Caenorhabditis elegans: one gene and its partners. The protein of the gene in region 3 purifies or fractionates together with the protein of the main gene of each other region. This does not show direct contact. Each region holds a gene or a part of one and is shown on either strand. Other genes may lie near its edges.

Evidence for each region.
Region 1: the proteins of npp-10 (region 3) and npp-18 fractionate together in Caenorhabditis elegans (co-fractionation; one large-scale study listed by BioGRID). This does not show direct contact.
Region 2: the proteins of npp-10 (region 3) and npp-6 fractionate together in Caenorhabditis elegans (co-fractionation; one large-scale study listed by BioGRID). This does not show direct contact.
Region 4: the proteins of npp-10 (region 3) and T23G7.3 fractionate together in Caenorhabditis elegans (co-fractionation; one large-scale study listed by BioGRID). This does not show direct contact.

Annotation. Positions count from the first base shown.
Region 1 is NC_003281.10:13,295,253-13,299,503, reverse strand, and holds npp-18 (Nucleoporin SEH1), read right to left. Parts: upstream 2,652-4,251; 5' UTR 2,648-2,651; coding exon 2,582-2,647; intron 2,527-2,581; coding exon 2,416-2,526; intron 2,371-2,415; coding exon 2,309-2,370; intron 2,258-2,308; coding exon 2,190-2,257; intron 2,140-2,189; coding exon 1,752-2,139; intron 1,165-1,751; coding exon 908-1,164; intron 858-907; coding exon 718-857; 3' UTR 511-717; downstream 1-510. Other genes in the region: pgm-2 (Phosphoglucomutase-2), read right to left, coding at 1-125. UniProt on the Caenorhabditis elegans protein: Probable component of the nuclear pore complex (NPC) which is involved in the trafficking of macromolecules between the cytoplasm and nucleus. As a component of the GATOR complex may function in the amino acid-sensing branch of the TORC1 signaling pathway.
Region 2 is NC_003279.8:5,175,000-5,182,856, reverse strand, and holds npp-6 (NUP160 middle TPR domain-containing protein), read right to left. Parts: upstream 6,028-7,857; 5' UTR 6,022-6,027; coding exon 5,940-6,021; intron 5,886-5,939; coding exon 5,581-5,885; intron 5,533-5,580; coding exon 5,407-5,532; intron 5,357-5,406; coding exon 4,713-5,356; intron 4,655-4,712; coding exon 4,324-4,654; intron 4,279-4,323; coding exon 4,091-4,278; intron 4,033-4,090; coding exon 3,741-4,032; intron 3,329-3,740; coding exon 3,005-3,328; intron 2,961-3,004; coding exon 2,833-2,960; intron 2,787-2,832; coding exon 1,900-2,786; intron 1,855-1,899; coding exon 1,720-1,854; intron 1,678-1,719; coding exon 1,329-1,677; intron 1,284-1,328; coding exon 1,137-1,283; intron 1,090-1,136; coding exon 786-1,089; intron 735-785; coding exon 399-734; 3' UTR 204-398; downstream 1-203. Other genes in the region: slx-1 (Structure-specific endonuclease subunit SLX1 homolog), read right to left, coding at 9-121; spd-5 (Spindle-defective protein 5), read left to right, coding at 7,336-7,387, 7,439-7,626, 7,674-7,857.
Region 3 is NC_003281.10:6,013,537-6,021,389, forward strand, and holds the start of npp-10 (Nuclear pore complex protein Nup98), read right to left. Parts: upstream 6,027-7,853; 5' UTR 6,013-6,026; coding exon 5,799-6,012; intron 5,751-5,798; coding exon 5,550-5,750; intron 5,508-5,549; coding exon of another isoform or gene 5,502-5,507; coding exon 5,046-5,501; intron 5,000-5,045; coding exon 4,773-4,999; intron 4,728-4,772; coding exon 2,982-4,727; intron 2,934-2,981; coding exon 2,847-2,933; coding exon of another isoform or gene 2,832-2,846; exon of another isoform or gene 2,637-2,831; intron 2,562-2,636; coding exon 2,070-2,561; intron 1,948-2,069; coding exon 950-1,947; intron 903-949; coding exon 447-902; intron 397-446; coding exon 237-396; 3' UTR 1-236. Other genes in the region: Ubiquitin carboxyl-terminal hydrolase cyk-3, read left to right, coding at 6,676-6,748, 6,796-6,866, 6,907-7,060, 7,109-7,225, 7,275-7,511, 7,558-7,822. UniProt on the Caenorhabditis elegans protein: Nup98 and Nup96 play a role in the bidirectional transport across the nucleoporin complex (NPC). Required for the nuclear import of hcp-4 during mitotic prophase, this step is essential for centrosome assembly and resolution.
Region 4 is NC_003280.10:9,165,414-9,169,659, forward strand, and holds T23G7.3 (G-patch domain-containing protein), read right to left. Parts: upstream 2,418-4,246; 5' UTR 2,388-2,417; coding exon 2,305-2,387; intron 2,259-2,304; coding exon 1,956-2,258; intron 1,907-1,955; coding exon 1,399-1,906; intron 782-1,398; coding exon 656-781; 3' UTR 516-655; downstream 1-515. Other genes in the region: W07A12.8 (DapB_N domain-containing protein), read right to left, coding at 1-163, 264-290; T23G7.2 (Calcineurin-like phosphoesterase domain-containing protein), read right to left, coding at 2,629-3,034, 3,090-3,209, 3,256-3,540, 3,593-3,681, 3,732-3,836, 3,887-3,979.

The DNA of each region.
Region 1 (4,251 bases), 7.3 Mb from region 3:
GCTTTCAATGCATCAACGTTCTTCTCATCAACCAGCTTTTGAATTTCATTACGATTCTTATCATTCTTATCCCAAGCGAGCCAATCGGCAACTTGCTTGTCAAGCTTTGCACATCCAAGAGTCATTCTGAAAATTAGAAAGTGCTTAAATTTTGCAATAAAATTGTGGAAAAGACAACAAAAGTTTTAAAAAATCGAAATTTTGCAGATAAGGACACTAATACCACAATTATTCCGACATGTGTGGATGAGAAAAGGCCAGGTAAATGACCTTGCCGTTTCTCTATTTCTCTGCGAGTAACCCACTATCCCTAGATTTGGAAAAGAGATAAAATCAACAATAATTGATGGAGGTATTGTGGAAACTGTGAAAAAGACAGTATCGGGTTTCAGTAAATATTTAATTTTCGAATTTAGGTGAATGTTGAATGCAAAAAGAATTAACAAAAACGTCCAAAAAATATTTCTAGGCACAAAAACCGTTGAAAATTACATAAGTTAGATAAGTGGAATGTTTAATTCTTGCAGAAACCGATCAGCATGAAAAATCTGAAAATTAAACAGAAGATTGATAAAATACTTAAACATCAAAAAAAAATCGGTGATAATGTTCTCGGTTTTCAGTTTTCAGATGATGATAACAAATAATAATACACGCTTTGATAAGAAATCATTCGGAAAAAAAATGATCGGCGAGAAAAAATAGAGAAAAATATCGTTAGAAATAGGTTTTCTCGAGTTGTGATGGAAGACGTTCGGTAGTTTTCGATGAGATGAAGGCGCGAACTTCTTCAGGCGATGGAACGTAGTCGTCGACATTCATCTCACTCAGCTTTACCCATTGGTTCACGAAGAGTGCTGAAAATCAATTTTATTTCATTTTTGACTCTTTTTGATTTTTTCCCAACATTTCCAGGATCTCAGTGTTCCATCCAAGCTCGTCGACGAGATGACTGATCCCATGAGATTATATCGAAGCCTCCATGCTTTTCGATGATCCCCGAGCAGTGCCACCTTGATCAGATTGTAATCCGCCAGCTGAATCGGATTCTCGACACCGTCTTCTTCGAGAATCGCCGAACGAGCCACTTTGATGTTGTAGACGTGAACATCGCCTGATGCAACGGCTAATTGATGCGAATCCACCATCGATATCGGCGAGAATCTGAACATTTTAAATATTATAGTTAAAATAGCGGAAATTTTTTTTTGAAATTTTCAGACAAAAAATTGATAAAATAGCGGATTTTTCAAGAAAATTCGATTTTTTTTGAAATTTTTAGACAAAAATTATTAAAATAGCGAATTTTTCAAGAAAATTCCAATAATTTTTGGAATTTTCAGACAAAAAATTGATAAAACTGCGGACTTTTCCAGAAAATTCAATTTTTTTTGTTGGAATTTTTAGACAAAAAATTGTTAAAATAGCGGATTTTTCAAGAAAATTTTAAATATTTTTTGAATTTTGTTAAAATAGCGGAATTTTCAGAACATTTCAATTATTTTTAAAATTTTCAGGCAAAAAATTGATAAAATTGCGGATTTTTCAAGAAAATACGATTGTTTTTGAAATTTTTAGACACAAATCCGATAAATATCGGATTTTAGAAAATTCGATTATTTTTTGGAATTTCTAGACAAAAAATTATTCAAAGAGCGGATTTTTTAATACTGAAAAATCTGCTATTTTCAATGGAAAGGCAAGCGCGCTGTAATAATTATTCGGCTCCGAGGAGAGCGTGTTCTTCCTACTTCAAATCAGTAATCGGGCATGGTAGATCGAAGACTAATGAGTTGATTCGCTGCCATTTCCTCAATCCATCAATATTCTCATAGATCACAACTCGTTTCTTGTTCTCTGCCTTCTTCTCATCCGAACCAACAGCAATCAACGGGCGGTGCATACGAGAAAGTGACCATGTGACACATCCACATCGGGTATGAAACGCTTGAAGCTCGTGAATAAGATTCCATCGAGAAGCGTCCACAATATCCGGTGCTTCGTAGATTCTGACGGTTCCGAGAACGTTGCATGATGCCATCATGAGACCCAGATGGCGCGGGGAGAAGCAGATATCGGTGACGTCTGAACGATTATCGGAGATGATTGTTCTTCGGATCCATTGGGATTCTTTTTGCTCTGAGAGATACATAATGTTTTGGATTATATTTAGAGCGAATTATACTCACTCAGATCTTTCTCTGATCTCACAATTTGCTCCTCCCAAATTACAATCGTTCTGTCGTAGGAGCAGGTGCTGAAAATCAATCAATAAAGTATATTCGGGTGACAGTTTCTAGTTTCTTACGCAACAATCTGCCCAAATTCCGGATGAGCCCAAATAACGCGCCAAACTGCTCCACCATGACACTGAAATGAGGAAAATTATTTTATTTTCTGAAATTTCTTTTCTACCTTCCAGTGTGCAGATCTACGCCAATTTCCGTCTGGCTTTCGATCCCAAATCGCCATTGTCATATCGCTGGCACATGTTGCCATTCGTCGGCCATGAGGATCGAATGAAACCTGGAAATAAAAATCTTCAGTTTTTATCTAATTTTTCGAAATCAAGCCAACATACACAATGAATGAGATCTCTGTGAGCGCCGACGGTCTGAAAAGGTTTCACCGAGTCGTCTTCTTGCATTTTTCTGAAAATTAATAAATATTTATAGTGAATATTAGAGAAAAATAAGAGAAAAAGAAGAAAAATCGTTGCGTAGAAACAAAAAAATAGATTCAAAATTTAAAGGCGCAGGCACTTTCGCCGGTGGAAGGTCTCGCTAGGAGCGAGTGGTGTAGTCCTCTCGGACAAACGAGAAGATGCGGTAAATGTAAAATTTTTAAATTTAATGTTGGCCTAAATTAATTGCGGCACAATGAATTGATACATTTTAAAGACTTTTCATCCAAATTTTGTTTAATTAATTGTTAGAAATTGCTAAACTGTTCTATTCTAATCGAGGGGGTACGTTTTCGTAAGGGGATTTTTTCGTAAGGAACGCTTTCAGTAGGGCAATGTGCTGCGCGCCTTTTCGCAAGCCCGCCGCACAGTCCTTCGCAATGCGCCGCACGGCTTTTTGCAATGCGCCGCACGCTTCTTCGTATTTATTTATTTCTTTTTCCAACAGGAAATTTCGAACGGAATTCAATTAAAAACGGATTTTTAATGGAAATTAATTAGTTTTATTCGAGCTAAATACGGATATTTTCAGAATTTTCGATGACAAAAACGGGTTGCAATCGATTTCGAATCGATCAAAATTAATATTAATCGAAAATGAGCATTTCCTTCCCGGAAAAAGAAGAACTTGATGCTGAGAGTGATCCAAGCGGAGCCAAACGCTTTTTTAGAGGCAAGTATTGATGTCTAAAGATTAATTGAAGAGTGAAAAGTATTTTTCAGCGTTCGACAGGGATCTAAAGAAGAAAAGAAATCCGAAAGCGTCTACTACAAATGTATGTGAATCGACTCCTGCAACAATCGATCTGGTTACTCCACCTGCATCACCACGTCGGTCTGATTCGTATATGCAGTTTCCTTCAAATTCTCGAGAGCTCGATGAGCCGAGATCCACTGACGATATCCCGGAATGCGATTCAATAGCCAATTCTACTCAGGAAACAAGCTTGGATACAACAGATTCCATGGCAAATACTGAAAGATTTTTTGATTTTGATCCAGCTGTATTTCCCGAAGAAATGGATCACGATCTACAGGAAACCAGTGAATTCAATCTTCTGTGTAGGTCTTAACTAATAATTAAATAGAAATAACAGACGTTGTATTTTTAGGTCACAATTCATATCAATCTCCGTTTGAAGACGAAGAGACTCCATACCATCCGGATTGGTTTTTGACAAATAGGTTGTTATTAATCAATAACTCTATCAAAATATAAAATTCCAGCAAGTCACACGTGTTACGTTCTCTGATGCACTATAGACCGATTGCCAATAGCCCAAGAGGGTGCTTGAAATGGCACCGGAATATATCAGCGAGAATAGTTCAGATTTTTGGTATGCCTTCTAACTTCTAAAACAATTAAACATAGAAACTATGCAATTTCAGTATTTCGACGAAACGAGGAGCTCCATTGGTCATTTTCAACAATCAAAGCTATCGTCCGAGAGAAACACTGAAAAATGGGGACATTGTGGCTAGGTGAATTATCGCTAGGAAAAAATTTTATTTTTTGTCACACATTTCATTAATTTATTTCAGATGTAACGTTACACTGGAAAACTCGA
Region 2 (7,857 bases), on a different chromosome or scaffold from region 3:
AAAAAAACCTAATTTTCTTATCTCCACTAAAGCTCCTAGGAATTCCTTCAATTGTTCTTCTTTTTGATGGTGGTGGTCCAGAATCATCATCAGAATCAGACGACAATATGAATGTCTCCATCTAAATTTTATATTTTGTCTATAACGGTTTTAAGCGGCAAAGTATGCGGTAACGGATTATCCTTTTTTCTCTCGGAAATAATAATTTTCATTGAAAATTTCATTCATCTCGTCGTAACCGGATAATATGAGAATGAGAATAAAACAGTAATAACAATCAGCGAAAATGAATATAACACAAAAGATAATCCTTAATTGAAAAAACACCTGTTGAAAATGTGAGATGAAAAGTGGAGAGGAATCAATTTTAAGAAATACAATGGGATAGAAAATATAAATTATTTATCAAAGAATCTACTGCTCATTTTTTGAGCTTGCTCGAAGTCAGCCACTTTTCGGAAATAGATCAACATTTTCTGATCAGCACTTTTTCTCAAATTTGCAACTTCTGCAGCTACTACTTGGTCTTCTGGAGATTTTAGACTCATTTTCCGGATATAATCGGCACTCCTGATCATCAATTCATCAATGATTCCGTATGGAAGCCAGGTTCTTGCATTTGACTGGGAAGCTTGTAGAGTTTCTTGTTCGACAATATCACTGAGAACTTGAAGAGCAATTGAATAACTTTCATAATCCACGAGACATCTAAGGTAATCGTTAGCGTCATTATTCTGAAATAATTGAAAAATATTTTAAAGCTATTCTCTATTCAGCTAACAAACCTCAAAAACACTGTGCAACCAGACAGGAACATTCAGCTTAAAACTAAGAAACGCTTCAGTGGATCCTCGAAGTGGTCTAGAATCTCCAGGCCATTCTGCTTGAGCCGCATCAACCAACCCACGAACCACCGACCAATGTTCTTCAGCGGTAGCGACGGCAGCACAGTGCCTGCGGTTAAGACGAACCCATCCGGCTTGATGAGTTGCTGCCATTTCGATGTTGAGGTCATCCCGAAGAGCATCAATCATTATTGCTTCACGTGTCATGGTAAAGAATAGCCTGTGGGAATCCAGATTGAATTGCCTGAATATATTTATGTTTTATCATCCTCTATCTTTTATAAAAATCACCTTGCAATGTCGAATGCTTCATCAAAATGTTGATTATCAACAAGCAATGAAAATAATTCGTTAAGATCAGTCGGTGGAACTCCCTTGAATTGATCAGAAGAAAGAAGACCAACTCGTGCGGAACATAAGACCAATTCATCACGAATACTGAAAGAAAACAATGAACTCTATGAACAAACTCTAAAGACGTACTCTTTTTCACTGAGAACCAGCAACTTTCTACGTTTGAACAATGGAATACTTCCTCCCTTCATATCATCTTCTGTATCATCAGTATCCATGTCATCCGATCCAAGTGCATATGCCATTTGCCTTGCCTTCAGTGCTACCAAATCTACACCTGTTCCTGACGAGCTGGTTCCATTCGAATTATCAGGTGAAGAATTGTTGCCAGTACCACTTCCACTATCTTTGTTTCCGCTCGGCAATTTGCCATTTTCACCAGACGAATCAGATTCGGTGATCAGCTCATCCTCGTCATCTGAAGGTTCAGGAAATACTAAATTCGTGTCAGTAGCGTCATCGTAGATAGCTCGATCGTCTGAAAAACAAATTTGAGAATAATTTTCAGAACATTAAAAACCGTCTGGCTCCATTCCAAGAACTGATTGCAGGTTGAGCACGACAGCAAGGCAGTCACGTTTTCTGCGGAGAAGTTCGGGGGTCATGCACGTTGTTGACTCGATGTGACGTGCATATTCGTACATTGCACAAGCTCCTGTAAATAAATTAAGTGCGCTTTATTTAAAACTTGGAGAATTACCTTTTCTAAAGTCTTTTCTAGCGACGTAAAACGCAAAGAGTAACTCGAAATAGTGCTTCTTCTCACTTGGTGATTGACGACATGCAGCATCTCTCAAAAAGTCTTCAACAACCTGCTCATGCTCTCCAAACTTCATTGTAGCAATTGCTTCCCATTCTCCACAAGCAAGCATTAGAGATAGAAGCTCGCGAATCGAAGCTCTCCGAGTTTCAGATCGCAGTGTTGTCCTGAGAATAAGCTTGAGTGATTGGAACCACTCACGACGATTAGTCAAATGGTTGAACAGAGTATTAGAAATCAATTGCACGCTTTCATTCTCAATCGGAAGATTTTCAATTGCTTTCACTGCGACAGAGCACACTTCCTCCGCATGATTATGCTCTTGAAGAAACCGGACAACTGTCAAAAAATATTCAGAAGCGGTCAATTCTTCAACTGGATCTTTTCCTTGTGCAACGTCAAATCGTTTTGGAAGCAAGAAGTACACCGCTTTACGGAGAGCATTGTTTCCTTCCGAAAACGCATCGAGACAGGATTGAAAAGAATTTAGTGCTTTAACAGGATGATCTGTTCCAGAATAAGCAATACCACGATAAAATGTGATCACAGGCTTCAACGCGCGAGTTTCACTGATGTATGAGTTGAGTATCGTGAGCAGAACTTTATATTGCTTCTGCAGAACAAGTCGCCGCGGTAGAACAAGAATTTCAGATGATGAAAGTAGAGCTCGAATCGCAGCTTCAGTTGTCACGCCAACGAACCAATTGAAGTCATTTTCTCGAATTTCATCATAGCCATGTGGTCCGTAACCACCCTCTTTCTTCATCATTGAAAGTCCCTCGGCGTCCGATGTCAACCATGTTCCAATGCTCATTTTGGCTCCGTTTCTGAAATAATTACATTTTTTTGAATGTTGCAATAAATGTTTCTTACTGCACAATCTTGATGTCCAGTTGTTCATTGAGTTCTCTATACACACGAATGATCTCTCTTAATTCACATGACAAGGCCTCAACATCTCCAAATGAAGGGGCGCCAGCACGAGATTTCTTCTGCAATTTCTGATAATGTGTAAGATTGCGAGAATGAGAAATAATAACGTTACCTCAGTGATTGCGTTGAGCAATGTTTGTAGTGTGAGTGCAAAATGAACACGTGACTCTACAGAAACTCGAATATTGGCCGATACAACACTTTGTGTGAAAGATCCTCCAAAAATTTGAGGATGTGGGTCTTCAAACGGTTTCGAGTTATCAAATGTGGACGCTTCGACAAATGCAGCAGCAAGTTTCACAATTGGACCTTCAAGCGCAGTTTTAATGTTGATGAATCGGCCGTCTGAATCGTAATCATATGCATTTTCGACATTATCATCCTCGACCACGGCGACTCCGTTCTTGGCATTTGTAAGCCTAGCTCTCTCACGATTCTGAAAAAAAAAACGCCATAATTTCGAATTTGTTTTCATCAGAACCAGGAATGAATTCTAAAAAATGGACTAATTCGCCATGCTGTTCCTATTTTTCATTAAAAACTAGCCTCAATATACAGAAAGTCAGTGTATTTATCTGAAAATAACACTAAATCCAGTTGAAACATCTAAGAAAATCCAGAAAAATGGTCTGAAAATTGCCAATTGCCGAAAAACAAACTCGATAATTTGTCAATTCGCAACTTCCAAACTATTTTTAAGAACGTCTCCAAGTGTTCGATCTGGAACAAATGCCATTTTACAGATAAATATTTTTATATTGCAACTAATTTTTAATGAAAAATATCGGACCAACATGACGCAATATAACATTTTGTAGAATCGCCGAAGACCCCTGATCAAAACTTACCATCAAGAATACACGTCTATCAGCAAACTTTGATGCTTCTTCAATCAAATCAATGAAATGTTTGTTCGGCAACTTTCTGAACTTTTCTTCGACATTTCCTTGTTTCGGGATGTTCTCTGAGCTAATAATTTCAAGGAACTCGGTATTATTATCGCCGAGGAAAGTCATTCGATCGCGATGAACAACTGCCATTATTCTCAAATCTCCGCAAAATTGAATTGGAGCGAGTGAAATAGCACCGCGAGCGGCGAAATCCAGTTCTTCACATGCACGGAGAAGAGCCCACCAGAAACTGGAAGTAATTCGGTTTCAAAATATTATTATTACTGCAGGCATAAAAATAAACATACTCTTTCAGCGCAGTTTTCTGCGATTCTTGTGGAGCATTTAATCTCAAACGAATACTTCTATCAGTCTTCTGCTGAAATTTCCGGTTGAATTCAACTGATGTGAGGTATGTGTCCACAAGTTTCGATAGTTCAGGCCAATTATTGTTCCGTACCTGACCAAGTGTACCGCGGAAATTGTCGGAAACAATCTGAAAAGAGACATTAAAAACGTATCACATTTTCTATTTAGCCACCTGGACAGCACGGAAAACAATATCAAATGGATAGATATCTGTATCAAAAACCACATCAATCAGTGTTTCTATGCTTGAATCTGCCGAGAGGTTATATGGGCGCTCAATTGCAGGTTCCACTTCATCCGTATTGCCGATCGGTTCTTCTTTGGTAGTGGCAGGCGAAGTGAACTGACGAACGGAATGCCAATCGAAATCTGTGAAAACTCGTCCCTTTTTCCATTGGATAGCAAATGAGATCCGTTTCATCGAATAGGTTTTCTTTGCAGATGAACTTTTGAAAAGAGCAGAAAGTGAAAATAGTGCAGCTGTGAGAGGATTATACAATTCCCTGAAACAATTTTATATTTAGACAAGAAAAAAACCCATTTTATAACAACGATTCTTACCCATCTTGTGTCTCATCAAGACTTTCCGATTCCTTTGATGGGAAATAGTTTTGAATAAGCTCGAGATCAACAAGTCGTTCATCAACGGACATCGATGTTTCGAACATTTGTAGATGTTGAATTTGATCATTTGAAACTTTGAGAATATGAACTCTCATCCCGACGCTTTTTCCCGAAACTGCCAAATCACATCCAACAATCAGAAGAATATCCACATCGAATGAATAAGCTCTGATAGAATATACAGTTTCAGTTGGTTCCATTGGAGACTTTTCTTCCTCGAAGTCTGCAGATTCTAGATCTCGATTCAAAGATTTTCCGTCTGAAGCAAAGTAGTTATTCAAGTCAATAGTGCTTGGCAATTGTTTTTTCGTCTCAACATTCCATGCTTGCACCCATCCGTCTCTGGTAACAGCGAACACAATATCGGATTGGACTGAAATTTTTCGCTCTCTCGTGACTCCAGAAGTCGGGCGAAGATTCTTCATAACACATGCATCACTGACTCGTTTATCAGTGCCACCTAGAAGTTTTCCCAGAAGACCAACTTCTCCCATTGTGAATTCTTCGTGTTTATCACTGGATTCCGTGTATGATCCCAATGTGACAATGACCAACTGCCCTTCAGCGGTACAGTAAGAAATCTGAATTCAAAATTCGAAATATAGGTTGTAATCAATTTCCATTTTTATACCGTATTTCTTGAAGGATGATGTGTAACACTTGCACGAATCGGGCGCCCTGGTGTTGAAAGGGAGTGAGATGTTCTGAATCGGCGGAAATCGTCATCTTCTTTAATTCTTGCAAGAATTGAGAACGTCTGAAAATAATTATTCTCATTCGATTATGGAAATTTTTGAGAACAAACATCATGGCCTTTGGAGTGGAGTCTCGCGTAGAAACGATGAATTGCAGAAGCTGTGGGAACGACAATACATAAAACCCCTTCCTCGAAAATTGTTATCGATGTTCCAGGAATAATAGGTGTGCGTGTGAAGTCAATGCACAACGATCCATCCGTGATTGAGTAGAGCAAAGAACGCTCCTCAATGAACAGTTTCTGGCCAATCGCACGCCACAGGAAAATCCGATCGCCGTAATTTGAGCAGTGCGGAAATGTTGCAACTCCTGCGGACGGTTGCACATCAAATCCATTCGAATGAAGCGGCGCATCTAAAAAAGTGAAATTTGTTGTAGAAACAATTATTTAATGAAATTGAAACTTACTGGTGTTTACCACAAAAGTTCTAGCCGGCTTTATAGCAAATCCATCCGTGAAGCTGATTTCCGACCCGTAAACCAGCTCCATCTGAAATTAAGCATAAAACACGATGTTAAAGCAAAAGAGAAATATGGAGATGAAATAAACACGTTCAAAAATATTTAAATATCGTTAAAAACAATTTTTCATTGGCGTGAACTTGTTTTACTTGTTTTTTATACGTTTTTTTATACGTGAAAAAATGGAAGAAAACAATTCACTTTAAATTTTAATCACTTATCGAGAAGGTTCTCATTGGATTCAAAGAAAAACTTGTTAGAAATTTGTGAGTTTTTACAATAAGCTTCATATTTTGACACTTTGCGATGTAAAATTTTACAAAACAATGATGAATTGAGCCGAAAACGCCTCCATATGGAGCTCCATTCGAATTCAAAAATAAGGGGCGTGGCTGCATGAGCAATACCGCCGCATGGTATTTCGCAACATGCGCACACTTTTTCTCTGTCAAGAAAAACGAGGCCCCACGAAAAGGGGATCTGCAAAAAGGGGATCTGCGAAAAGGGGAGATACGAAAAGGGGAGATACGAAAAGGGGAGCAACGAAAAGGGGATCTGGCACTGTGCCAAACGCTATTTTTCTCGAAGAAAACGATACAACGATTGTCGCGAATACGCAGAATACTGAGTCATCAACAATGACAAAGCCGGGAAACTCCTGTTTGAAAGCCGCGCCAAAAGACACACACGTCACGCGTGTTACAGTACTACCACACATGCACATCAAACCCCAACACGTCGACACCACGCAAGGAAATCGTCACTTCTTCGTTTTACTCTTGGACCGGCAGGTCGCATGTTAAATATATGAGCTTTCTCATTTTTATCATTTAACGGATTTATCAGTAATAAATTATATAATTCTACCACTTTTGAACCTATACCGATCCGAAACATGGTGCATCGGCTCCGATGTTACGCGTCGCGTGTTGTTAAGCGTATCTTCTAGAAGAAAATTTCAAAAATCAACGTGCGTTGCGTGAGAAAAATTGCGTTTTGTGCGTTTGGCACAGTGCCAGCTCCCCTTTTCGTTGCTCCCCTTTTCGTATCTCCCCTTTTTGCAGATCCCCTTTTCGTTCTGCTCCCCTTTTCGTGGGGCCTCAGAAAAACGCGCGCCTAAACGTGAATTTTGAATTTTCTCCGCGTCCGCGAAATTCTTACGTTTCCATAGTAACAAAAGTTGGTCCGCACTTGTTTTTCATGATTATGCACGCCCAAAGAACGGTGCTGAAGCTTCAAATTTTGCAACCTCCTGTTCATTTTGACTCAAAACTCTTAATCCCAAAAAAACGCTCAATTTTGTTTTCGAACCCGTTTCTTGTTTCAGAAAACTTCGCGTTAAATGGAGGATAATTCTGTGCTCAACGAGGACTCCAATCTCGAGCATGTCGAGGGTAATTATAACATTTAAAATCAATAACTGCATAAATGCAAAGGTTTTTTAGGCCAGCCACGAAGATCTATGTCGCAACCAGTTCTGAATGTTGAAGGAGACAAAAGAACGTCTTCGACCAGTGCCACTCAACAGCAAGTATTGTCAGGAGCATTTTCGTCTGCTGATGTTCGTAGCATCCCCATCATCCAAACATGGGAAGAAAACAAAGCGCTTAAAACAAAAATAACTATCCTGAGAGTAAGTAATTTATCATATGCTTATTTAGAAATGATTTGAGTTTGTAGGGAGAACTGCAAATGTATCAGCGCCGGTATAGTGAGGCAAAGGAAGCGTCGCAGAAGAGAGTTAAGGAAGTTATGGACGATTATGTCGATCTCAAATTAGGCCAAGAAAATGTTCAAGAGAAAATGGAGCAATACAAACTGATGGAAGAGGATTTGCTAGCAATGCAATCGAGAATTGAAACTT
Region 3 (7,853 bases):
AATTCGAGTACTCAATTTATCGTTTTGCTGATTTCTAAATTTCTGTACTAGTTTTCTCATGTGAATAGAACACAACAGTAATAACATCCTACAAAAAGTTCATATTCATAGTAATAAAAAGACGATTCGGGAAATGATGATATACGAGGAAGACAGACGGAGAGGGCAGGAAAATGTAAATAAAAAAAATAAAATTAGAATCAGGTGAAAAATGAATAAATTAAAAAGTGGCTAGTCTAGTCAAATTCAATTGTGAATCTTTCGATTCCCCAAGACGAACGATCACGGAAGATCTTAAACATTTGCCGATGTCCGAGAAGCTTTGTCCACTCTGGAAGTGTATTCTTATCAGCACGGTACTCGAACAAAACACGTCCAATTGTTTGAAGAGAGAGCCTGAAATTATATAAATAGTTTTAAAAAAAACTTATGTCCCAATAGCTTACTTTTGAAGACTGTTCTTGCTGATTGTAGGAGCATGTAGACGAGTTTCCAGACTTTCAAGCACGTCCTGTAAGAGTTCTTCTTCCGCATCATTTTCGATCAAATTGATCAATCGGCAATAATCAGTGTAGACCATTCCAGTCGCACCCCACTCGGGAATCTGATTTTCGAAAGGACGAACCATCGCGCATGCTGCTTTGAGAGCGTCATGATCTCCAGCTACAACTGCAGTTGGTGCAATATCATCCACAAATAAGCGACAAATTTCCAGATAGTTCTTTGCAGCCACAGCCAATTCGAAAAGTTGGGTAGAATCATCGACTGACTTTGCAATTGAGAATTGAGCATCAGCAATCCATTCCGAAGGAATATCGAACTGTTCGGAAATAGAATCAAACATATCATTGTCGGTGAAACGAGCAATACGGTCGAGGAGGGAACGAACTGCTGTTGATCTTCTGGATAAATATATTTATAAATTGAAAGATTCTAAAATTCAACTCACTCTTCATCATCATCAATGTGCTGCAAAACAAACAATGCATATTTTGAGAGACTTGATGCTTCCAATTGAGATGAATAGTTTCTGTGAAGTCTTGTTTCCGAAGTCTTTGACATTGTACGGTATCCAACCGAATAGAGCAAGCTCCATACGTGCCATTGAAGGAAATAATCGTTGGGATTTTCTCCAGCTGCACAGTCAAGTACAACTTCCACTGAGTGCTGTGATTCACATGCCAATTTGATGAGTTCTCCGGGCAGATCTCCACGATTAGAAGCGGCACGGCCAGCATTGACATCTTTCTGATAAGCATCGTAAGATTCTTCTAGACCAGTCCATGCACGAAGATACCAGACATGCAAACCGAGTGCTTGAATCCAATTGAGTCCATCAAGACAGTTGATCGAATGATTCTTTCCGTCTTGATCCCATTCGTAGTGTGATAGTCCTGACATCAGAACATAGCATTTGAGAGTTTCCTTCGGAATCAAATGAAGAGTTTCGCATTTCTTCCAGTTGTCAAGTTGTGCTTTAAAGCAATGAACAGTAGCTTCTGGGCACACAGCAGAAGTCTGAAGCATCGTAGCAAGCTGTGGCTGATTATTATCAATCGCAATTTGAAAAGCTTTATCGATGTCTCCAAGACAGAGTTGATTCCAAACACCATTTGAAGATGTATCCGCACTTCTATCGTCTGGAACAGACTTCACTGCTTCTGTTCTAAGCCATTCTCCAATTTCTTCACCACGCTCGAAAGACCATCCTTCTCGACGTTCATATGGGAATAGAGCAGATATCAACTTCCAAACAGAAACATGTCCATCATATCCACCAGCTTGAGCGACATCGATGTACTTGGCAAACATGGATGAATATGAGTCAGAATAAGTGACGAAGTTAGAAGTGAGCGAAGATTTAACCGAGTTGGATTGTGAAGATGGACCCTTGCGACTGGTTTCAGATACATGAACATTCACATCAAGCATTGAGATTAGCGTGTTCTGAAAATTGATTAAATTAAAAATGGGCCATAGAAGAGAACGGTGTAAAAAAGTACTTAGAAATCCAATTGACAAATAGACTGTAAATCACAGAAGGGCTTTTATAAAGTCACAAATATTACCTCATTCACGTCCGATGTTCTATCAATTGTCCCAAAGAGTACTTGATTGTGTCGGGGTTGAGCTGACCACACAAGACATCCAGTTTCACTCCATCCGACATGTGAACTTCTTCCCTTCACAATTCCTATATCAATCAGTTTGCTCTTTCCATATCCAATCATTTTAGCAGAGTGTCCACCACCGTGGAACCGATGAGCTGGGTCGTTGGCCTTCGGCATGACTTTCAGTTCCTGGAGATTGCGAATGAATCGACTGCTTTCGTATTCCAAATCAGCGAGAAGTTCAAGTTTCGGCTTCTTTTCCGGCTGCTGACCTTCTTCAATAATTGAATCATGACCACTTTCATTGAATTCGGTGGTCATATTTCCGATGCATGATTCTTCTCGACTATCATCCAATGTTCCACCACCAAGACCTTTTCGGTTAACACGACGAATGATCGGCACAACATCACCTAATGCAGCAGGTGCCGGAACTCGTTCCAGAATTATCTGAAACAAATAACTGCTGATGGCTCTCCATATTAAACCCTAAACGGTCTGTCTACCAATACCATTTGAAGAGGCTAATTTTAAAAACAAATTTATTGAGTTAGAAAAGAATAAACGAGAATAATTTGAGTCTTTAGCCTGCCCTAGATGGTATTGGCAAGCAGTCATGTGAAATGCTAAGAATGAAAGCAGAAAATTTTTAAATGAAACAGCAAAACGTTTAGAAGGAAAATTAAAATACGGTGATGATTGAATTATAGTGAGTGACAATCATTCAAAACGGACCTCTTGATGGTGAGCATCCGTTGCCTTGTGCACCTTCTTTCTTTGCACTTGATTGTTCACGTCTCGAGCAGATGTATTCATGTCGATCTGGAAAACTATTTGTGTAAAAGGGTAAAATGAGTTTTAAAAATTTACCACTTGTAATGGAGAAGATGCCTGTAGTGCTTGCTGTGGAGGGGACCCATCCATTGGCTCATCATCGTCGGCCAATCCATACTTGCTGAAATGGTCCACACGGAAGACCCAGCTTCCAGTTTCTGCACGAAAATCTTTGAATGCGGCTCCCATCCGAATCGTTTGTCTCTCGAGATGCTCGCGCCAACCAATCTCGGAGAGTTTCACGACATCTCGCACTTCTTTCTTGGTCTTCTTATCAGTGTACCATACTCTTTCGAGTGTCACTTCTGCTGGCCTATTCAGTTCTTGACCTTCTGGAGCTTTCTCTTCTTCATTCGGATAAACCGTCACCTCGCGATGACGAAATACAACAATCTCGTCGAGAGCAACATCTTTCAGCTCGACTCGTCCTGGCCAGTAGACACTTCCGTACGACGATCTTCCAACTGTCAATCCATCCTCCAACACAACACGTCCGTTCTTGATCATGTTCTTCATCTCATTGATTGTCGGAAGAGAAAAGTAGTCGGGCTTTGTAAGCTTCACTCCTGCTGCCGAATTGACATTAACAGTTTCTTCAGAAGGCGTCGACACAACAGATGCTGCTGAACTAGTTGCAGCAGACACCGGCTCCAAGCCAGTGTGCTCATCGCATGTCGTATCCAAGTTCAACGATGGTGGATCTCTATTTCTGTCATTATGTCTCTGGATTACAGCCTGAACGGGGTCAACTGCTGGAGTGGAAGTGACAACGTCTTGACGTCTTTCGGATTCAGAGATTCGAGGAAGAGCATCTGGATCAGCTACACGGGATTCTCTTCCAACTCTCGAAGAATCTGCGAGCAGAGACATGTCCAACTGCTTCAAATTCGATCTTCTCACGGATCCACGAACTCCAAGACGATTTGAAGTTCCATTCATGGAAGCATCCAGAGCTGAGTCGATAGTTTTGTCGAGGGCACTTGATTCGTGAACACTTCGATTTGTCAGCGACATATTCGGATTGAATGTGCTGTTTCGAAGTCCGCGAGCAAGTGATGGTGGCGCTTCTTTGGAAGTGTAGTTCAAATCTTTGGTGACATCGGCTGACCTGGTAACTGCTGGAGAAAGATCACTCATCACTTTGCTGATTGGTGGAATGATAAACGACGAATCTTGTGCATCAGAAGACGATGACAGAGCGCCTTTCTTCGCAGCAAGGAATCTCAGCTGTCGTTGAGTACTAGCCGGCGAAGACTTCCCATCAATTTCTGGATTCGCATTGTATTTGAGTAGTGGTGAATCACCATACGGCGCATTTGTCAACTGCGACTTCAATGACTTCATGTTTGCTTGCATCTGGAGGACATCAGCCGTAACGCCAATCACAGGTACCGGGGCCACTTGTTGTTGCATTACAATTTGCGGTTGAGCAAGATTTCCGAATCCAGTATTCAACGGCTGTGTAGCTTGAGTGTTTGAACCAAACAGTCCTCCTGAAGAAGCTTGTGGCTGGGAACCAAAGAGACCGCCGCCTGTTCCAGTATTCGTCGTATTTCCGAACAAACCACCTGGCTTTGCTGCATTGTTTCCAAACAATCCACCTCCGGTATTTGTGGAACCGAAGGCATTTGTAGTTGTTGGCTGAGTGGCTCCAAATGTGAAGCCGGTACTTGTTGCAGGCTTCGCACCAAATAACGAACTGCCAGTATTGGCTGTCGAAGTATTTCCGAAGAGACTTCCACCGGTGTTTGCAGCAGCCGGCTGACCGAAAGCATTTGTCGCCTGAAAATTAATAAAATATTGAAATTCTAGGATATCTTAACTCACCGCTGGGGCACCTCCGAAACTGAATCCACTCGATTGTTGCTGTGGTTGTTGCTGAGCTTGGCCGAAGAGTCCGGTACCAGTCGTCCCCGTGTTGCCGAACAGGGACCCAGATTGATTTTGATTCTGTGTATTCCCGAACAACGATCCACCAGTATTCGTCTGTGGTTGTTGATTGCCGAAAAGAGACGATCCAGTTGTCTGACCGAATGTTGAAGCTCCTGTTGTAGCTAAGTTTAAGGTTAAAAATTGTGTTGATGCTAGATTTATTCTTACCTGTAGATCCGAACAGTGACGAGCCCGCTGGTTTAGCTCCGAAAAGAGATCCACTTGCAGCAGACGTGTTGGCGTTGTTGTTACCGAACAATGAACTTCCAGTGTTTGCTGTGCTCGTGTTCCCACCAAATGGAGATGACGTCGAAGCTCCCCCGAACAGAGAAGTCTTCTGTTGAGCATTACTTGATCCAAAAAGCCCACTGCTTCCAGCTTGGTTTGTTGTGTTGGATGCTCCAAAAAGCCCACCGCCAGTGGAAGTCGTTCCTGTTCCGGGAGCCTTTCTATTTGCAATGTAATCCTCCACTCGGAGCTCTTCAATACTCTTTCCATCGTACTTCGACATTGCAGAAATGCACATGTGCTTCGTGGAAATTGTCTGAGTTGTCCCATTTCTCATCATAGTATCAGAACTGATCGGTGGCTCAAACTTAACAGTGGTTCCAGATACGGTCGATGCTGAAGCTGATACAAGATTAATTTATTTATCGAAAATCAATTGTTTACCTCCAAAGAGACCTCCACCAGATGGTGCATTATTATTGGAACCAAAAATGCTGCTGGTTCCAGTATTGTTAGCGTTGTTACCGAATAGGGAACTGCTTGCGGGAGCTGCTGAAGAAGTTGACCCAAAGATACTTCTGTTGGCATTGTTCTGCCCTCCACCGAACAATGAACTCTGGTTGTTCTGAGGCTGCTGCGGACTTCCTAAAATATTAAAATAAATCAAACGCATACAATTATTGATCAAAATACCGAATATGCTGGAAGTGTTGCTGGCCGCTCCGAAGATTGATCCTGCCGGCTTGTTCTGTGCCGCCCCGAAAAGGCCAGTAGTTCCACTGTTATTGGCTGGCTGACCAAACAATCCTTTGTTTTGATTGTTCTGGTTGTTTTGTCCAAATAGACCGCTCCCAGAGCTGCCACCGCCAAAACTCGATGAGCCGAATGATTTGTTCTGGCCGAACATTTAGCTGAAACTTGCAATTGATGAGACGGTTATAGATGAAGCGATGAGCAAGTAATAATTTGCAGTGAATGAAAGGCGGTTGTCATGAACATTCTGCTAAGAGCTGTCACAAGTTTTCATACAACCAAAAAGATAGCATTTACTTGAAAATGTACTTTAGGATTTCCAAATCGGAATTACTCTACACTCAAATTGCACGCTAATGCGACTAGACGGACATTGATTGATTGATCAGGTTACAGGTACATATTTATGACTGAAAATGTGCAAGAATAACACAAAAAATGGGAGAACAACTTCTACAACCAAACTCGAGATGAAAAAATGAGCGAAATGATTTCGAATGCAAAAATTTTTTCGAAGTGATTCTGAAATCGCAACAGAGCGAGTTTGCATTATACACCCTGCGTCTCTTAAGTTCACACACTGTCTCACTGCGCGAGGGTTTTTGACAGTTCTCGACAAGTCTTTTATTTTTTCCCGCAATTCGTGTTTTTTCGTGGGGTTTATTGGAATAAACTGTTTTCCATAATCGTTCTAAAGTCGGTCTCCACTGAAAAACTTTTACAAATGCTTTTCTTTTCAAATAAATTGATTTTTACATTTTTTCTTTCAGATTCGGCAAGAAAATCTGGTTCAGATGCTCAAATGCCATAATCCGAAATGGGTAACACGTTAACTGGACGTTCGAACGCTATCGCACCGATTATCAGTGCGGAAGATGCTAAAACTTATAGTGAGTTTCAGGGATGTTACAAAACAAACATAAACTCAAATTTTTAGTATCGGACGAGGAGTATCGACGAATTCGCCAAGCTTTCCAACGCTTCAAAAATGGATGCATTAATTATGACGTAACTGTTTTTAATTATTTTTTTAACTTCACCATTTAAGGAATTCTGCTATCATGTTCTCGGAGGCGCGCAGATACCAGAAGAAAAACGACGCCTGCTGTTCAGCTTCTTCTCTCATGGCGCTGAAACCATTTCCTTTGACAATTTGCTTTCATCTCTTGTTGGATTGTGTAGAGTAGAAGAAGTACAATCGAGTCAGTCAAGAAACATTTCAGAAATAATATTAAATTATTTATTTTCAGGGTTTATCGAAGAATATCACGAGTTCGCGTCATGGGGATTGAGTCCTCCTAAGCTTACGATTCCGCTCAATGATTCCTATATCTCATTTTACGAAGTGATGTCTTATGTGACGCATTGTAAGATTTAAATTATCTTGATTTCCGTATTTCAAAAACCATTTTTCAGTATCCGTGAACGAGGTTATCGAGTTAGAGAAAGTGTTCGCCACGATCAGTGATCGAGCTGTCTGCAAACTGAATGAAGAGAAGTGGAAACAAGCATTGGGTGGATGCTTCCCGGATAGTTATGCTGAGAGATTATTCGCTGTTTTCGATGAGAATCGAGATGGTCAAATTGACTTCAGAGAGCTCGTTTGTACACTTTCGGCTCTTTGTCGTGGACCTCTACCAGGGAGAATTTCTCGTGAGTTTTTAAGAAATTATTTTGAGAAACTAAAAAGTTGTTTTAGAGTTGGCACGAATCTGGGACGTCGACTGTGACAAACTTCTGTCTGACGAAGAACTTTCTAACATGTACAAAGATCTTAATGTCCCAGAAGAACATCAGACTGTCACAAAATCATCGAATGGGAAATCTGCTCTCGTTGATTTTGGAATATGGGCACAGGAAAACGAAAAATATGTCAATGAATATTATTCTATGGCTCTTCAAATCGGACACATTTGTCTCGGATTGAGACCAGAGTCACGGAAAATGGAATTACAAATTGTGAAGTTAGTGTAGCTTTCAATTCTCAGTTTAAAT
Region 4 (4,246 bases), on a different chromosome or scaffold from region 3:
ACATGAACTCCTCTACATTTGCACCATGATCCTTTAATATCTGAGCAACAAGCCCTATTTGCTTGAATCCATGAACTGCTACCACATTTGTTCCCTCTAAATAGTTTTCTCCAAGTTGTGCTCTTTGTTTAACATTTGCTCCGATGTAGAGGTTACCTACCATCTGGAATTGGTAACGTTTTTTAAAAATTCACTTACAATATCATAATAAAACTCTAAAACTTTGACAGATATCTAAATTTTAAATTCAAAATCCAACTTACCCTTTTAGAAATTCGAACAGCTAACATTTTTTAGTGTTGCAGCTGCAGACTTTTACGTTTTGTTCAAATTCGGCGAATCTGCTTCTTCACAACTAATCCAATTTCAATTTCAATTTCATTTTCTTCTTCTTCTTCTGCTTTTGCAGCTCCTCCTTCCTCTTTCTATTCATTACTCCCACTCCCGAAGGAGTCAATTTCAGAAAGAGCAGCAAGCTAATTATTTTCGTGCAACAAGAAAACGGGAGCACAAGCCAAGAAAACGTTTGTTTTATCTATCAAGTGTAGCAGAAGGAAAAAAGAAACAGAGTATACGAGTAGTACAACAATAAAACGGAAAACAGTAACAATAGAAATTGAAAACAAAAAATTTGGCAATTTAGTCGGTATGGAAGTTAGTGCTCATCTTCGGTGTGCTTCTTTCTTTTTCTTGGAATTTCTTCTTCATCTGCCTCCCCACCTTCAGCTCCTTCATTTTCCGGTTGTTGCTGCTCGCGGAGTCGCTTCAGACGTTTCTTTTCCTGGAACATGTGTCAATTTGAGGTTTATTCAAATAATTTTGACAATTTTGATAAAAGTGCAACCTTGTCAAGATGACACTTTCGGTAATGGGCATGTTTATAATATTATCACTCAATTTGAAGCTATGATAATAAATTGATAAACTTTTTGAAAAAAGTTAATCGAATTCAGGGAATCAAAATATTTTTTGTGCAAGAATAAAGTCAGGTATTTGATGTTTAGCACTAGATACTGTCGACCACGGGTGTCGGTTTTTCGATTTTTTGTGACTTACTCAAAGTATGTAACAAAAAATCGAAATTTTCGTTTTTTTTTCGATTTTTCGATATTTCGAAAAAATTTTCAATTAAAAAAAAATTAGCTTAAAATTTTGGTCATTTCCTTATTTTTTAAAGAAATTTTTACGTTCCTTCATCAATATAAGCTAAATTAGATTTTTTAAATCTTATTTTATGATTAATTTTCTGAACATTTTTTTCGACTTTAAGATTTTTCAGAAAATCGAAACATCGAACATTTTCGTTTTTCGATTTTCCCTCGAAATAATCGAAAAATCGAAAAAATCGAAAAACGACACCCTTGCTGTCAACCATATTTCTAAAAATAGCTTATCTACCTTTTTCAGTCGTTTACGTTCAGCTTCATCAAACTCTTCATCAATAATTTCTTCCTTAACTTCTTGTTTTACTTCCAGAATAGTTTCAACTGTTTCCAGAGTTTCTTCCTTATCTCTTTGTTCTCGTCTCAATCGTTTTCTCTCCTTTTTTTCGGCTTTTCGACGAGCTTTTTCTTCATCCGATTCTTCTTCCTCCACTTCAGTCTTTATTTCCATTTTCACTTCTGTCTGATTAGCAGCTGCAGCCTCCCGTTTTGCCTTCAAAGCAGCCATTTTTGCAGCGAAATAGTCACCGACGGATAGGGTGCTGACAGTGTTATTTCCCTCCTTTTTCTCTTGACTGTCAGCTTGGCTATCAGAACTATCAGATTTTACAGATGAATTTTCAGTTTTTTCTTCGATTTTCTCTTCGGCATTGTCAGATTTGAGTCTTCCATATCCAAGAATTCCTTTTTTGTGGCTATCGCTGTAGTTACTTGTATCCTTGGCGCGAGTGAATTTTTGATAACTAAAAATTGATATACTTATACTTTTTTAAAATGATGTTTCAAACTTACTGAATTCTTCTCCTAATCGATTTGCTTTTCAATTCAATGGAAATCTTCTCCGCAGCTGCATTCTTTTCTTCTTCCGTTTGTTCTGGTTCCTGTTCTTTATTTTTGTTCAAAGCTGCCAAAAGATCGGCGAAATCGTCGTGATGAGAAATCCATGTAGAATCATAATCAGCCATTTTGTCAGCACCAAGTCCTCTTCCAGAAGTATTTGCCTTGAGCTTCACAGAGTCTGCGTTTCCTTGACGATTTCTTCCCAGGCCATCTCCTTCGGACCATCCCATTTTCTCCATAAGCTTTTTTGACAGTCTGTAAAATGTTGATGAAACCTGATTATTGATAGGAGAAAACTTACTTCTGATCGTCATTTTTCCATGTCAAATTTTGGGGATCAATACTAATTTTTTGTTTTCTCTTCGGCTCTGCCAAAATCGACATTTTCCAAAAGAATTGAAGCGTCGATAAACCCTAAAATCACAGGAATTGAAATATAATTAGAATGATTGTATAAATAAAATATTACAGTGTTCCGAACACTGGTAAAATCAATAATGTTAAAATAAATTGGAGCAAAGAAGACACTTTTATTTCAGACAGACAGATCAAATAAATTACAACGAAATCATACAGAAAATAGTCATCGAACCGTTTTAATGAGAATTTTACATTTTACAACACATTATTCTCCCAGTAATTCCAACACCCAAACTTCGCTCATTCCAATCATTTTCATGGGTGGTCCTTGATACAATGATCCTGCCATTACCATCAATTGACCTCCAAATGGAATCTCATAGAGTCCATAAAAGTATGGTAGAAGCCAATAAACTACTGGAATAACTACGTAGAATTGTCCTGCATGAGTGTGTCCAGATAAGACAATATCAATTTCTGATAATTCTTTCGGATGATCTACGATGAATTCTCGAATTGATGCCGGATTGTGTGCCATGACGATTTGAGAAGTATTTGATGGACATCGATGGATGGCTTTTGGTAGATCCATTTTAGTGTTCAAGATTCCAGATTTCGGACTTGAAATATCGTTTACTCCAGCCAAACAGACTCCTTTCAGCATTGTACTTCTGAAAAATATCACTGTTACTTCCAAGAAAAACTCAAAAACTTTGTAAAACTTACTCGTTTTCAAGAACATTAATACGGCCATTTTTGTAGAATCTTATCCATTCCTGAACGTCTCCATAATAATATTCATGATTGCCAGTTACGAAATAAGTAGGTGCGTGAGCAGGGAGTTGACTGAAAACAAAAATTGAAATTTTGTGAATCAAACTAATTCGCCTACAGAATTGGTCGAACTCTATCCTCGATTTCCGCAACAGGAGCATCTACCATATCTCCAACAATCAGAATAGCATCAACTGGATTTTCAAGCACTTTTTCGACAACTTGATTGATTTGTTCCGAATAAACACTTGCACCAGCGTGCAAATCAGAGATCACTGCCAATTTTAATCGATTTCCATCAGCAGTGAAGTTTTTTATTTTGATGGTCTTTTCTTTGACAACAATCCAATCGCGTGATATAAACATACTGACTGACAGAAGCAAGGTGATTATCATTGTGAATCTGAAAATAACATTTTTAATGATAAGTTCCGAAATGAGATGTTTTTTGTTACTTTATTTGAGATCTTCTTTTCCACATGAGATCGTTAAAATAAGGAACCTTTCCTATTATTTCCAAAATCGAAGCGGTGTAATGGAACATCTGAGAAAATTTTTTTAAAATAATTTAAATATTATTGAAATTAATATTACCTTCATTTTTCCAGCATAGAAATTAACAATCCCAAATCCACATACGAATGCAATCATGTTAGTCCATATTCCCGCGCAGATTGAGGTGAGATCGAAGAGAAGCCACTGAAATGCAAGAGACTCTTTTAACAGCAACACAATTTCTAAAAACAAACCTGGAGAAATGCTGGGGCATAATACATAAAATAAATCGCTTGTCCGAGAACTAGGAAAATAATAAGGCCATCCGAGCATCGTTTCCGGATTGTCTGAAATGAGAATAGGTCAGTTTTTGGTGAGAAGAAGATTTAATCGATTTGAAGAGAAAAATAGTTATGGTCTTTGAAATCGTAGCAGGAAAACAAAATAAATTTTTATTTAAAAGCAAATTCTTGTTTTGCTAACTTTTTCCAACAAGAATATTGCAATTTGTTGAAATTTCAGTGTCGAACGAAAAAAAAAGAAAATTTTGTTCAGCAACAACACTCCGCCTTGACACCTCTCGCGTTGTTTATCGTCATTGATGGGTCTCGCAA